Linked DNA regions of Canis lupus familiaris. The protein of the gene in region 1 purifies or fractionates together with the protein of each later gene. This does not show direct contact. Links are inferred from orthologs where the notes say so. Each region holds a gene or a part of one and is shown in the gene's direction. Other genes may lie near its edges. The genes, in order: NKAPD1 and CSNK2A2.

Region 1 (3,819 bases):
GGAATGGAGAGTGACTGCTAAGGAATGGAGTTCCTTTTTGGGTGATGAAAATGTTCTGAAATTAGATAGTGGTTGATGGTTGCACAACTCTGAATATACTAAAAGCTACTGAATTGTACACTTTAAAAAAGGGTGAAAAAAAAATAAAAAAGGATGAATTTCCTGGCCTGGGAATTACATCTCAATAGGATTGCGAATTTCCTGGCCTGGGAATTACATCTCAATAGGATTGCTGTGTAAAAAAAAAAAAATTGTCCCATTGTAGACAGTATTGTTACAAGTTGTTTTTGGAGAAGCACTTTACAGCTAAAGAGCAGGATAGAAGAGTTCCTTAGTGTTTCCTGAGAATGGCAAGTTCTCTTACAAATGGACAAAAGAATCCTTTGTGTCTGAAATAATAACGCAGTACAAAAAATGTAGCCAACTAAGTTACTGAGCTTGAAGATGGGATTGGCTCTATCATTATCTCTATTTCCTTTGTTCTCTGTGCATGTCTGTGTCTGCATGTACTCCTGAGTCTCTTTTTTTTTAATTTTCAAAAATGTATGCATTGCTCTAATACATGTAATGAAATATGTCATCTTACAGATGGGGTCACAGTGGTTATAAAGAGTTATACCCTGAAGAATTTGAAACAGACAGGTAAGATAAATAGGCTTATTGAAAAAAAAAGCTAGAAGCTGTAAGATTAATACTAAGTCTGTACTGACGTATAGTATCGTAAAATTGGGTTCCTAATTTTACAAAGGAGATGACGTTTGCCATTAAAAATGTAACCCAGAAAAATAACAGGCAATTTTGTGGGGAGATAATTGGTATATTGCCTTCTCCTGATTGATGTTCTGCATATATATATATCATTTAGGTTTTTTTTTTTTTTTTTTAAGATTTTATTTATTTATGAGAGACACAGAGAGAGGCAGAGACACAGGGAGAGGGAGAAGCAGGCTCCTTGCAGGGAGCTCAACGTGGAACTCGATCCCGGGACTGCAGGATCACGTCCTGAGCCTGAAGGCAGACACCCAACCACTGAGCCACCCAGGCATCCCTGTTTTTTTTTTTGTTGTTTTTTTTTTTAATTCATGAGAGAGGCAGAGACAGAGGCAGAGGGAGAAGCAGGCTCCCTGCAGGGAGCCCGATGTGGGACTTGATTCCGTGACTCCGGGATCATGACCTGAGCCAAAGGCAGATGCTCAACCACTGAGCCACCCAGGTACCCCAGCATTTAGTTTTGTTTTTTTTTTTAATAAGATTTTATTTATTTATTCATAAGAGACACACAGAGAGAGATGCAGAGACACAGGCAGAGGGAGAAGCAGGCTCCATGCAGGGAGCATGATGTGGGACTCGATTCCGGGACTCCAGGAATATGCTCTAGGCCAAAGCCAGGTGCTAAACTGCTGAGCCACCCAGGGATTCCAATATTTAGGTTTTTTTTTTTTTTTTTAAGATTTTATTTATTTATTCATAGAGAGAGAGAGAGAGGAGAGAGAGAGAGTAGCAGAGACACACAGGCAGAGGGAGAAGCAGGCTCCATGAAGAGAGCCTGACGTGGGACTCAATCCAGGGTCTCCAGGATCACGCCCTGGGCTGCAGGCGGCGCTAAACCGCTGCGTCACCGGGGCTGCCCAACATTTAGGTTTTTATACATAGTATTCAATACAGTAACTCAGTTTGGCAGATTAGAATTTTTACCTTAATTTTAAGAAAACAAAATAAGGAAATAAAACTCAGAGTGATAAAGTCTCATAGTAATCCTTTGTTAAAGCTCTTAGTTAAAAATTCAGATGTTAACCCCTACTTACTTTTTTTTTTTTTTTTTTTTTTAAGATTTTATTAGAGAGAGAGCATGAGCAATGGGAGGGGCAGAGGGAGAAGCAGACTCTCCCCGCTAAGCGGGGAGCCTGATGTGGGTCTCAATCCCAGGACCTCTGAGATCATGACCTGAGCTGAAGTCAGACACTTAACTGATTGAGCCACTCAGGTGCCCCAGCCCCAACTTTCTATCCAGAATGCTCAATACTAAAATATAAATACGCTTTTTATTTTCTATAGTAAAGCAGTTTCTCTTTTTTGTTAGTAGTGATCAGCAAGATATTACCAATGGAAAAAAAACATCTCCTCAAGTAAAATCATCTACCCACGAGTCTCACAAACACAAGAAGTCCAAGAAATCCCACAAAAAAAAGCAGAAAAAAAAGTCACACAAAAAACAGAAGAAAAGCAAAAAAGAAGCCACAGATATAACAGCAGATTCCTCAAGTGAGTTCTCGGAAGAAACCGGGACTTCTAGTACCAGGAAAAGGAAACAACCACATAAGCGCAAGAAAAAATCCAGGAAAAAGTCTCTCAAAAAATCTGCTTTATTCTTGGATGCAGAAAGTGACACTTCCCAGTCGGATGATTCTGCATCCAGCAGTTCTGAGGAAGGTGAGGAAAGAGAGACTAAGAAAACCAAAAGGAAAAAGAGCGAGAAAAATGTTCACATCCCTCTAGTTAACAATGAAATACAAGAGAGGACAAATAAACGCACAAATTGGAAAGTGGCTACAGATGAAAGGTCTGCAGAGAGTTCAGAGGAGGATTAGATGAGGAGACATTCTCCATTTCCCATCTGACTGGTTACTTACAGCTCTTCCACCTTGGGGTTCTGCTAGTGACTATTCCCAGCACAGGGGCCCTGAGGTCAGAGCTGTCCTGTGCCATCTACATTCGTTCTGACAGACTTCTTGTCTTCTATTTTGGCCTGTTAAACTTGATCCTCTTACTGTTAATAGGGAATCTGGTATTTTGTTATGAAGTTTTCTCGAAGAGATTATTTTTTGCAATTAATCACATTTAGGGTAGAGTGCATATACAGCAAATTAAAGGACCCAGAAGGCTGAATCCAATAACAACCTGGGTACACTAATTGGGATGTTGAATCTGGGGAAAGCAAGGGCTGGGATCAAGAGGTGGATTGGAACTGGTGCTGTGTAGAATGTTGTAAGGGAACATCGTGTTGCTGTTTATATAGGTGCCACAACTTGACCTTTTTTGTCTTCAGCCTTGGTGCTTTGATCTTTCTGTATTTTGGCCTCATAGATGTGGTCCAGTTTATTTAATGAGAAGATGAGTATAAGAGCAAAACATTTTTCCTTCATGATAACATCCATAGACGGCTGTTAGGAGTCTAGGGTTTCTGTCAAGTTTCCCTGCTGGACAGGGTCCATAGCTACACTCACTATATCCCTAAACATAGTAATTGGTATAGTAAATGGTTTTCTACTTCCATTGCTGTATATCGCCTAAATGGACTTGTGTTCAAAATTATTTCTTTAGTTATCTTGGGGAAGTCCTCAACCAAATGGGATAAAATTAGGAATTAGTCATGCTCATGGTGCTCTGAACAGGATTCAGGGTAGCAATTGCCAATTTAAATATTTGTTCATTTCTAAATCTATTAATGACCTTGAGATTTTCCCTGAAACTAGGTCGAATCAGTTCCAAAATGAAACAGGCTTCTCAGGGACGCACCTACTTCTTCCCAGTCTGCCTTCTGATTAAAGCACCAAGCAGAGACCATAGTATTTCCCTTTGCTATATACTGTGATCCCTACTGTTAAATCCTAAGAAACCAAAATGTCACGGAGAAAAGGCTGGCAGAACACAAGTGAATTTGTTCGTTATGACAGGATATCAAGTGACCCACCATTGTTTTTCCTGGTTGTCACTTCATGGGCTGCGTAGAAAGCTTGAAAATGCAAGACCTTTAGTTTTGGTTCTACCACTAATTAGGTAGTTACAACATCTGGAACAGGTAAGTTAACCTCCCTGGCC
Region 2 (3,819 bases), on another chromosome or scaffold:
AGACCAATAGATTAATGTATGATTCCTAAGTCAAAGTGACTGGTAAAGTGTTACTTACTAACTGCAAGTAGCAAGAGTGTCCAGAGAAGTGTCTCCTATCTTCCCTCCTTAACGCAGCCCCTTTTCCGCCGGCTGCCAGCATAGTGTGCACAGAGCACTAGGGGTACCATCTGAGGCATGGTTATTGTCCTCTGTCGCAGCAGTAAGCTGCCCCTTGGGAGATTGTATTCACGTGAAGCTGTCACAAATAATATGCTTGCGTTGGGAGGTTGGTAGACAGTGTGCTTACTTTTCTCTGTGCTTTCTTATCTAATAGGCTCTGGATTACTGCCACAGCAAGGGAATCATGCACAGGGATGTGAAACCTCACAATGTCATGATAGATCACCAACAGAAAAAGGTACCGTTGCAGCCAGGCAGCAACAAGGCTTTTCTTAAAAGGTCTAGGGCAGACCACAACTCTAGGTATTGACCTAGGAGGGACTGCAGACCAGTACTGTTTTCTTTGGCAGACTTGTGTTATTGTTATTTCTCCGGTCTCCAGTGTTGCTTTCTGCTCTGCATGAGCATGGTACACAAGGAAAGTAGACCCGTGAGCCTAACTGTAGTCCCTTGTTTATTTTGGTCATGGTTTTCCAGAGGGCCTCGCAAAGAAACTCCAGCAGATGGTTTGTACTTCTTTTAATGACCCTTAGACCAGTCTGCCTAGCCTTTACACTTGGGTCCCTCCTGTTTTTCATATCCAATTCTGGTTGTCTCTGATTGGTGAGTAAGTGATTCCACTACTGTGTGATTAATGAAAAGCTGGAGCAATGCTTCAATCCTGGGGTGGGGCCTGGGTCTCCAACCCTTTGTGTTGTGGCTTGAGCTTATGATGGGAGCTGTTAATAATGGGGGAATGTGTTATATGCAAGTAAAACAGAGGCAGAGTAAAAAGCTTAAGCTTGATTGATGGGAAGAGAATGATAAGCCAGGATAATTTAAATTAAAAAAAAAAAACAACAACAAATAAGATTCTGAAAGCTCTACTGTAGAGGTGACCTCTTCCACAGTTGCTGAAAGGGTAATTTTTGCCAGTGCACTGGCTAACATTTGTTATGTAGCGCACATATTGTCAGCTAACGTGATGTGGCCTTTTTCTAAGGCACAGGTGTCTAGAAACACTCCTTTACGGGTTTGATTTCTGTTGTGTTTGTAGCTGCGGCTCATAGACTGGGGTCTGGCAGAGTTCTACCACCCTGCTCAGGAGTACAATGTCCGTGTAGCATCGAGGTACTTCAAGGGACCGGAGCTCCTTGTGGACTATCAGGTACAACTCACGCCTCCTTTGTGTGTTTCCTTAGGGCTTCTCCTCGTGTGCTGTTTATTAAGTCAGTTTGGATACATTCAAAACCCCAGCCTGAAGCAGTCATTTCAGATTTTTCTCAGTGACTTTTTTTTTTTTCTTTGAATTCTAAAATATGTGCAAAGGTCAACTGAAGACTAGAAATCCAGATCAAAGAAATACATTTGCAACACCTTTCACTAACAGGCTGACCTTGTTTCCCCAGATGTACGATTACAGCTTGGACATGTGGAGTTTGGGCTGTATGTTAGCAAGCATGATCTTTCGAAAGGAGCCCTTCTTTCACGGACAGGACAACTATGACCAGGTGAGCAAACACTAACTGGCTCTTCCCCATGTGGGGGCACATGCCAAAGAAATGGGAGTCTGTTGACAGGGATGCTATCCTTGAGTCACTCAGTGTCTGCACTTAAGTTCTCCTTCAGGGTAAAGAGCTTCATGAGATTTTGTCTGTGGTTACTAGGTCCCCAAACATAGAGCCAGATAAAGCTATCTTACTAAGCTCCACGTATGCCCCACAGTGAGTCTGTGAAGAAGTCAGACACACCTTGTCTAACAACTAGCTTCTAGATTAGATTGTGATGCCCCCGTAATTGTCAGCTTCTGGAAGATTATTGTCTTAAGTTATTACCATTTTATTTTTGTTTTGTTTTTAATTTTTTTTTTTTTTATTTATTTATGATGGTCACACAGAGAGAGAGAGAGAGGCAGAGACATAGGCAGAGGGAGAAGCAGGCTCCATGCACTGGGAGCCTGATGTGGGATTCGATCCCCGGTCTCCAGGATCGCGCCCTGGGCCAAAGGCAGGCGCCAAACCGCTGCGCCACCCAGGGATCCCAGTTATTACCATTTTAAAGGGAGTTTGGAAATTTGCTTTCTGTGAACATCATTGGCCTTTGGTCTACCTCCTGTCAGCCCCGGGCTCCAATCTGCCTCTGGTCCCTGGAGATTCAGTGATGGAGAAGTCCTCTCATTTCTTGGGATAGCATCCTCACAGGCTTGCGGTGAGCTCTGTGCTCAGTAATTTGGTCAGTTTGTTTTGTGTTTCAGCTTGTTCGCATTGCCAAGGTTCTGGGTACAGATGAGCTGTATGGGTATCTGAAGAAGTATCACATAGACCTAGATCCGCACTTCAACGATATCCTGGGACAGTAAGTAAGAGAGAGGGAGAGAGAACGAGGGTTTTAACTAAACCCATTTCAGAAGAGGGAATATTCGCCGAAATCACTTGCTAATCATAGCAAAGTTGAAAATACCCTTCTTTTTTCTCATGTATGCTTTTTAAAACTTGTTTTGAGGTTTGGGCATTGTTTACATGTGTCTTCTGATCGTTGTACTTCTCCAAGAGATAACCTGTCAGTCCATAGAAAATAGGAGACAAAATCCTGTTACAGTGAAATGCTTTGCAGGACAGTGTATGCTTATTTTAATGGAAAATCTTAGAAAGCTGTGATTCTTCTTTGAGGAAGAGATTTATAGTTTTTTCTTGTTCTAGTTAACGGGTTTTCTACAAGGTGGCAAATTTTATTTTTTTTTAAGATCTTATTTATTTATTCATGATAGACATAGAGAGAGAGAGAGAGGCAGAGACACAGGCAGAGGGAGAAAAGCAGGCAGGCTCCATGCCAGGAGCCTGACGTGGGACTCGATCCCGGGACTCCAGGATCGCGCCCTGGGCCAAAGGCAGGCACCAAACCGCTGAGCCACCCAGGGATCCCCCCAACGTGGCAAATTTTAAAGCATATTTGCAGGTACAGTGTACTAGTGTTGAAAAGTAAATGCGTTGACAGTTCTCAGTGTTTTGTGGAGCCTCTGTTTCCAAGGCTAGCTCTCTAAATATTTTTGCTGCACAACAAAAATAACTCTGTCACCTCTGTGCCTCACCAGAATTGACTAAAAGCCTGATCCATAAGAAATGATCTAGGAAGGTGCCACAAATTCTAAATCAGATGTAGAAGCTTTAGTTCATTTTATCAGAGAGCATGTTTTTTGTTTCAAGATGCCTCAGATATTCCCGTGGAGGGTGGGGCAGACACCTGTGAGAATGAGATTTAATAAGTTTATAATCCTCCTGGGGTTCTAAGATTCTATTGGCTTTAACCATGGTAATGTCTGGATTCTTGTTGAATTGAATCTCAGTACCAGTGCTTCCCTTTCCTCCTCAGACATTCACGGAAACGCTGGGAAAACTTTATCCACAGTGAGAACAGACACCTCGTCAGCCCTGAGGCCCTAGATCTTCTGGACAAACTTCTGCGATACGACCATCAACAGAGACTGACCGCCAAAGAGGCCATGGAGCATCCCTACTTCTGTGAGTCTCCAGGGACCATTTGCAGGGGCCTGATTTATTAAAGGAATAAGTCTCCTGTTCTTTATCTTTGAGGCCAGTCAGGAGAATTCTAGGTGTTTGGATTGAATCATCCTTGGAATTTGGCCTCATTCATTCTGGACTATTGAGACAGCTCTTGCAG

The links.
Region 2: the proteins of NKAPD1 (region 1) and CSNK2A2 purify together in Homo sapiens (affinity purification with mass spectrometry; 5 studies listed by BioGRID and IntAct, counting the BioPlex papers as one, with this or other methods). This does not show direct contact. The link is inferred for Canis lupus familiaris from reciprocal best matches to the Homo sapiens genes NKAPD1 and CSNK2A2.

The regions. Positions count from the first base shown.
Region 1 is NC_049226.1:21,077,275-21,081,093, reverse strand, and holds part of NKAPD1 (uncharacterized protein NKAPD1), read left to right. Parts: intron 1-588; coding exon 589-642; intron 643-2,080; coding exon 2,081-2,588; 3' UTR 2,589-3,819.
Region 2 is NC_049223.1:57,697,494-57,701,312, forward strand, and holds part of CSNK2A2 (casein kinase II subunit alpha'), read left to right. Parts: intron 1-316; coding exon 317-400; intron 401-1,198; coding exon 1,199-1,309; intron 1,310-1,550; coding exon 1,551-1,652; intron 1,653-2,395; coding exon 2,396-2,496; intron 2,497-3,510; coding exon 3,511-3,659; intron 3,660-3,819.